2 linked regions of the Tribolium castaneum genome follow. The protein of the gene in region 1 interacts with the protein of each later gene in a biochemical or structural test. Links are inferred from orthologs where the notes say so. Each region holds a gene or a part of one and is shown on either strand. Other genes may lie near its edges.

What was found.
Region 2: the proteins of PlexA (region 1) and Sema1a form a complex in vitro, tested with the Drosophila melanogaster proteins (2 studies listed by BioGRID). The link is inferred for Tribolium castaneum from reciprocal best matches to the Drosophila melanogaster genes PlexA and Sema1a.

What each region holds. Positions count from the first base shown.
Region 1 is NC_087403.1:8,409,949-8,414,070, reverse strand, and holds the start of PlexA (plexin-A2), read left to right. Parts: upstream 1-1,256; 5' UTR 1,257-1,693; intron 1,694-4,122. Other genes in the region: band 4.1-like protein 4, read left to right, coding at 30-75, 161-289.
Region 2 is NC_087396.1:10,643,169-10,647,310, forward strand, and holds the start of Sema1a (semaphorin-1A), read left to right. Parts: upstream 1-1,242; 5' UTR 1,243-1,475; intron 1,476-4,142. Other genes in the region: fanconi-associated nuclease 1, read left to right, coding at 1-380, 430-482. UniProt on the Drosophila melanogaster protein: Involved in growth cone guidance through its role in axonal repulsion. Function in neurons is essential for adult survival, motor neuron survival, and is important for climbing behavior and activity.

The DNA of each region.
Region 1 (4,122 bases):
TTGAAACACCAACTCAATCACTGTTGCAGGTCCAACGAACGGAACGGATTTAACAACGTCGAGGATTATTTACTAGTGAGTATTTTTGCTACTTTGGTTGAGTGTTGGATCCGTTCTTTAACAACTCAATCAATGGTTTTAAAATCGACACTATTGGAAGGTTTCAGGTCCAGAGAGATTATCAAATGTTACTGAACACAATGCGTTACCACAAGCAAATTCAGAAGGAGGCGGCGCCAGTGAAGCTACTGCAGCGGTAGATTTGTCGGAAATGAGCACCGAGCTGTAACTCATACTCTAGCGATCCAAATAATTTCATGTAATTTTATTATGACATTAAATTATAATATCACCGGGCGTTTTTTGTTGCGAGACCCGAATAATGATCTCTTTAATCTGCACAATTTCCATCCAAGGGCTGCTCTAATGTGAGCGCAGGGCTGGAACGATTTTATCCGATTTTCTTCGCCGATTTACGGGACAAGCCTTCTGCTTTGTTTATTCTGAATTAGGCCCGGCATTCGCCGAAAAATCCGCGTTTAATTATTAAAGCAGCGGCCCCAACTTGTTGAACTGTTATTGTTAGCAATGCAAATGGTTCAAGGTGTATACATGGTTGTATACCTGGGCGTTGCCGGGTTTAACTACCCACACAAGAATTTTACGGCGAGCTTACTGTTACGGCCCTGACTCTGGCTTTAAGGCGACATAAAAAATCAGCTATATTATTTTTTACACGCGGAACTTGCAAAATTGGTTTTTAATCTCGTTGCGAAGCAGGTGCCGCAAACAAGCTTAGAAATTCAAATGTGCCCCAACTTTCGAATTGTGCAAAAGCTGGCCAATTGTTTATTTCCGGATCTTGTGGAATGGTTTACGCATAGCTCGGGGACAGGCGTATAATCATGCATAAATAAAAATATTGACACAGGCAGACAACGCTTAAATCGATATAAACAAGATTAGTCGGGTTTAATAATCGCCGGTGTGCCCCCATCTCTATGGCGAAGATTTTGAATTTTTATGGTATGCAAATGGTGGAGTTAGCATTTGGTGTCATTTCTGGCGTTTAGTGCGCCGGGCTCGGGGGCTGGGGGGGCGCCCTTCCGGGGGCGGTTTCGGCCCCGGTGAAAAAAGCGTTCTTTGTGAAAATTTGCCATTTCTGAAGAAGGAGAGCAAAGTTTTGGAATATTTAGCACAAACGCCCATGAATAACAGGTGAGCGCATGCGCAGGGGGCACAGTCGGGCCAGGGTGGGGTGTACGGCTAGCTTCAGTTTTTGAACAAGTCTAATAACGCGGTTGTTGTGTTGAAGGGTGTTTCGTTGCTGGGTAAAGTTGGTGATACCGGTATTGTGTTCAATTCTAAGTAATACTGGCCAAATGGTAGAGACTGGGCGACTGAAACCGGGGCTATAGCTGAGTTTGGACCGCCAGCAGAGTGCACGTCGAAGCTTAGAGCGATATTGTGGACGGGACTGATCCTAACCTAAATAGTTTCCACAGATGCAGTGAAGTTCAGACCAGTATGTTGTCCACCTAGAGCTCCGGTCGTGGATGAGACAAGTGCACGGCGGTTGTGAGACACCCGTGTCGTGATTTCGGGTCCGAACTGTGGATGTAACCTTAAAGTGTAATGTGTGTAAGTGGGTTGCACTGAGTTTCACTTCCTATGGGAAATGGACACTATATAGGTAAATGGAGTGTAATTGCATTAACTAAGTGCTATCGTCAAATCGCCAGGCTATGTAAAGTGCGGGGCACATTTGTTGGTGCTGCTGGTCACCAGCTGCATTCCGTGACTTGGTCCAGACTGAACCCAGCATCCGTTTACTTGCAATTCCGTAATATTTTGGCCGTATTTATCGATTTCCCCCGTCACGACACTTTACTCGTCCCATTCACCAAACCGAAACTGTCTTACGTCCTCAAATGGACCATCTCGCGCAAAACGGTCCGATTGACACATCCGTGTGATTAAATTCTTAAAGATTGTAAACATATGTTTCATTTAACCGGAGTCCCCTCCCCTGGATTGTACTATTCACCGGCAAATGTGACTGTACTCATTCTTTGTCATTCATCCAAGTACACTCCCGGCAACAACCAACCCACTGTGGACCCGGTTACCCTATGACAGATGCAATCATCACTTTTCCTTACATTTCACACATTTCCAAACACACCTCTGTTGTTTTCATTGCATTAGCGCGCGTTGCCCAAATCCATTTTTGGCCAAACTACACAAATAATCAATTAAATTGTTGCATTGCATTTAGCCGGCAGAAATTGCTATTTGGACTGGCGGGCCAAATGCAACATTTTTCTTCCACACGAAATGCTACACCGAAAGCCATTTAACGACCAAATCATGGGGAAAAACAATCCTACATTTTTAATCAGCCTCAAAAACACGAAAACTGTTTCGGCTTTCGAAAATTACCAGGGCGTTTTTTCGTAAGATATAACTGGAATTATCGCTTATGACCGTTGTGGCTACGGTTTTAACGAAAAACAAACCAAATTTAAGAAAACACATGACTGAGATATTGAACAGAGAATTCTAATGTACGCTAACCTGTAAACACAACAAAGTATTTGGACAAGAACGACATTCCAGCTTGCATGAAGGATTTGCATGCGTTGCTGTGTTTTGACTTTTGTTATTATGTTTAAACCAAAAACGAAAAAGTAATACCTATCTACAATGTAAACAATAAAGGTTGGTAAAAGTCCGGGGAATCTCATGCAATAACGCTAACACTGGTCAACATGTTTTTTTTTAATATCTAGTACGTCTTTTTTATGCCAAATTGGCTATCACGTCAGGCCTCGGAAAACAATCATTAGGCAAATATTTGTATAAAAATATATTAAATTTCACTGTATGTGCGCGTAATTTCTTTATTACTACGAGTAAAAACGAAGAATCATGTTAAGTGACATATTTAAACCTGTTTAAGACGCTGGTTAAACTAAAAGGGCATTGCTATGCCGTTTGCTAAACCTATGGTTTGGCGTGCACAAAAGAACCATTCAAGAAATTATTAATTGTAACTTTTGTTTCACCAAAACCTTTCAAAATGTTCTGACAAGATCAGAAAAAGGAAAACTTTTTAAATAAGCGCAACAATGTACATGGATTAATATAATTAATTTACTTAGTTTTTATTGTTATTGTTTTATTGTTATTATCTTTCATTTAAAAAATAATTTTGATATATACAGTGAAACCTCCCATAACGGACACCTCTTCACAACGGACAATTAAAGGTTTTTTATCGGTGTCCGTTGTTGAGAGGTTTTACTGTAATTTATATTATAAACAAATTTTGTTGTCCACTGCAATTAGTTCTGATTGTAGAGGTTTTGCTGTATTTTTTATTTAGCACATAAAGAGCGCTATTTGCTTAATGTTGGTTATCTTTTTTTCGTCTTACGTATGTGTTTTTGATATATATTTTAAACCAATATACACGTAATATCGTTTTTTTATAGTTTGGCTTTTTCGTTTTCAATTCGCGTTTGTTATAACCATCTAATTTCACAATGCTAAGTGTAGAAAAGAAGACGGTTTTTGAAAGATATAAAGTATATATTTCTACTGTGTTATAAACTTATACATATCGTTCGATTTAAGCTGGATCGTAATAATTATGTCTACTGTAGTCAAATATAAGTTAGTTACACAGTACAATGAAGCTTCTTATGTGATAACCCAGTAACCATTAAACTTAATCCAGAGTTTTTTGGATTTTTTTTACCTTCTATAACATCAAAAATTAAATAAAATAAAAATGTTAGCGAAAATTACACGGAGAGTTTTTTTCTTCTGATCTTGTCTTATTTTATCAGAAGTGATTGTATTTAAAAATATTTACGAAATAAGTCAACAACAGTATAACTGTATTTTATTTTTTTATAACTTTTTTATTTAATTTTTGTAATTATCAGAACGCATTTTTTTGGAAAATTACCGCTAACAAAGACATGAATTTTATGCGTTACTTTAAACTCACGTCTAGATGTGCTTTGCAGTTTAATGCAGAAAACGAAACACTGTGCAGACTTGAAAACATGAATGGTAGATAATGTACGAAATTCGATTATTTAATTTGAGAAC
Region 2 (4,142 bases), on another chromosome or scaffold:
ACGCTCGATTCAAAAGCGACTGGACGAGATTCGAGACAAGTGGAAGAACATTGAATTAAGGACGAAGTTATCGCGCGCTTGGGACTTACATTCGCACGAAAATTCTGTGATTGAGGCCGCGGTGCCTAAATCTGACCATATTTTTGATGTGATAATGTGCATTGGGCGACCTGTGCTCGCTAAAATTTTCGAAAGACTGGTGCAAAATTTTAAGGTTTACCAAAGTGGGTTTCCCGACTTGATTGTGTGGAATGTTGAGGAGGGAAGGGCGAAATTTGTCGAAGTTAAGGGGGAAAATGATAAACTCTCAATTAAGCAGAAGTTGTGGTTGAACTATTTGTGTGATAGCGGGGCTTCTGTGGAAGTTTGTAGAGTTGAACGTGAGTATAAATCTGTACTGGGGGTTGTGAGTCATTTTGTGTTTTTTAGCCAAAGCCACGAAAAAACAGTTTAAGAGAAGTGTCGCCGCAGCGTGCCATTAGATATTAAAGACTTATATTTTTATACGTTCTTATACCGATTTATTATGTAATTTATCTTAAGTGTATTTTATGTTTTTGAGTTTTGAGAATTAACGTATTTGTTATTTTTTAATAAAGAATTGTTGAACTTTTTGTTGTTTCTCTTGCCTCTTCTTGGGATTTTTTGACTCAAGGGTTTCGATCTGTTTAAAAGATAAGTACTAAGTTAGTAAGTGCAGACAAGTATAAGTATAATATAAAATATATTTTTCCATCCTTTAAATATCCCATGAAAGCGTTATATTCTCACGAAAGAAAAAAAAAACTCAAAAAATTAAGGAATTTGTAACAACTAAATAACTTCAAAAATTCTATGGAACCCCATATTTTTTGTTTTTGCTTCCCAGAGATTATTAACAGTCTTTCTAAAAACAGAAAATTCAAATGTGTAAAGTTATTATGAATTTGCACTAGATTGCCACAAAATTTTGTTAGGACCAGGTAAAAGTGCTTCAAAAAATCAGCTGCTATCTCCTTTACAACCTAAATCTTATCAATTAACATACAATAAAGGAAACGTTAGAAAGGTTTTCTTTGTATATTCCCTATTTGAGTACATGTGGAGGAAGGCTTTGAGGAGTAATTTTTCTGGAGTAAACTGTTGCGACTCCGGGCATAGTGCAGTTGCTGCTGTGCAGATGGCGCAGCCCCGGAAGAAGTAGTCCTCCACCAGCGCAGTTCCGAGCACCACGCAGAAGTGCTGTTGTCGGGCAAGCGCGTTCCATGATGTCAATATGCTCATGTATTTGTGTTTATATTTCCTAAAAGAAAACATGGATGTTTTTAAATGAAAAGATACTCTTCATGTCCGCGCGTGTGTCTCTCAGTTGTAATTCTGTTAAGTTTGCATAGTGCGAATGCCGGAAGGCTTCCCTCCAACACCCTCACGACCACTGTTATGATGCAGTCAAGGGATGAAGTTTTTTAATGGGATATGCCATTAATCTGATTGTTGTAAGTTCTGTTCATCATTTATTTTCCTCGTGGTAATGCATTGTTGGGTAAAGAGCGGGAGTTCTTAAGAAAATTGTCAGGGACACAAAGTCCAGCTTTAGTTGATTGAAAGTCATAGCACATCTTGAACATCTGACGATTTAACACCAGCACGTTACACATGGTACATATCACATTTTATTTGACCCCAAGTTTCATTTTTTACTTCAGTAGAATTCTTGATCGCTATTTATGTTTGGCTGTCATAAAGGAATTGTAAACATAATTTTCTACTTGTTTATCATTCCATTCATTCATTGATGAAGCGGATTCATCCTGGATGTCACAAGATAAACCTAACGGTCAGATTGATACTAACTTGGGAATAAATACTTATTGGCACTCTTTGAGTTACATAACGGTGCAAGTACAGTAAAATGTGCAATTTTGTGCTGCGTTTTTGCCATAAGTTTCAAGAAAGTAACATTACATTTAAATGTTGAAACGGTTTTAATAATAAGATACCGAATTCGGAACAATAGCAGGATCGTTGGGTTTTTTCTTCTTTCTCCTAATGACTCACACAATCTTGTGGTTGGTTGTAACACTAGTTATTGAATTGAATGAACTCAAGGAGTACAACAAAACATACGTAAAAGGTCAACGGTCTCATACTAATATCCAATGTACGAAGTAAAAGTCGAGGTAAAAGTAAATCTTGTTTACATTTTTTCGGTTCAGTGGAGTGTTTAAATATTAGGTGCATAGACCATTAACTACGTTTAAATGAGACTTTAGTTACTCTAAAGTGTCTTAATGACTTATTTCTTTGAAAAGTTGATTACATCTTTACTGTAGTACCTAAATATCGAGGTAAATATCTACATGTTTGGAGCTTAGGAAGGTGTAACGTTCACATTATCAACAATACATTCTTTGGAATATAAATTGTTGCCATTACGAATGATTATGATACAACTGTAGCATTATTTGCATAGAAATTATTACAACAGTAATTTATTTTTAATGTTAATGTAAACAACCTATCCTCGAACCTATCTTATTACCCGGGAAATTAATATCTTTATTAGGTCTGGGAATTATTGTCCACAGGTTGATTTATCGACATTTTTTGCTCCACGTATTAATTTTTCTTATTTATGGAAAGTACGCTATGTATCATATTTATTTTTATAGTCAGTGATTCGTTTAGAGACCTTGATTGTATGGATAGATCATGATTCTATAAATATTTGAGTATATTTTTTTCTAATTATTTTATTTGCTAAAATTATGTTAGTTACCATTGATTGACTTACTACGTAATATCCAAAAGTTATAACGATTGTCTTTTGGAATTTCTTTCCTAAAGTTATTTTTAAAAGTTAGAGTTCAACTTTGCTAAACTCCAGTAAATTTCAGTTTTCACAAAAATTTGAAATTATTTTTTATTTGTTGTCTAAGAATTTAACAAAATTGTTGTCGGTTGCGTTTTATTGTCTCGTACATGTCTTCGGCTATCGAAAATGTGATGGGAGCATGTGGGAATTCTCGGCTTCCCATATGCCATCTGTTTTTTCGTTTTTTGGGTGGTGATATTGTAAATTGTTTTCTTTTCTACATCGTCAAAAGAGTTTTTACTTGTCGGGAAACCCGGATGAAATAATAAGGTACGTTACAGTTTTGAACCCAAATTATAGTAAGAACGTATTAATTACCGGATTTCTATTTCCAATTTGTTATTTTTTGTACTACCATCTCAAACCAGTTTTTCAATCAACAATTACCTTACGCTACAATGGGGCTAATTAACCTATTGCAAATTGATTATGGGGATTATGCAATTCTTCGTTCTGGTCTCATTATACGTGGGTATAAAGCCATTGGAGGTAATGCAGGCAACGAAGCTTTATTAGCAGATATTGAAATATCCATAGGTAAACAGAGCACTATTGCGTGCGACACTTTGAAGTTTGAATAACACTACCTGAATTTGCATACTGCAATAGAGAATAAATATTCTGCCACTGCATTTTAATTGCTTTTAATGGCCGAACCAATTTTAACACAAACAAAGGCAGTAACGGTTTTATGGGAACCGAAGACTTATTTTTTTAATGCAGCGCTAAGCTATTAAAACATTGATTATTATTAAAAGGGCTAGAAACTAATAACGTAAGAACATAATTCAAGCTTCGTTTAGAAACAGAGTTAATGGTTTTCTTTATTTAGGGGATTGGGCGCCTATTTAGAAAAGTTGGAATTTTTTATTAGCTTAATCAGCTGGGAGTTTGGTGAAACAGGATTTGTGGAATTACGTGATTTGTGTTAAGTATATTCTAATGAATTTACCAATTAGGGAACGTTCCAATATTCGAGCTCTCATTGAACCGATTATGATAATCTGTTAATTCCCCCGACTTGTATTCTTGCTACGTTTCGTGTTAATAAAGACAGTCTTTTACTTTTCTTCCAAGTTTTAATAATTCTTCGACTGGAAGGAAAACTTTGCTGTACATTTTGTTTTCTGCACATTCAGATGCAAATCAGTCTTGACGATGAGTGATTTTTTTCGCCCAGTTCAAGTTACTTTATAAGCGAACATATAAAAAGACTGGGTACCATCGGTGAATAACATAGTTAATGTAAAATGGAGGCGGTAAACAAGACTCAAAAGCTGGCCATTAT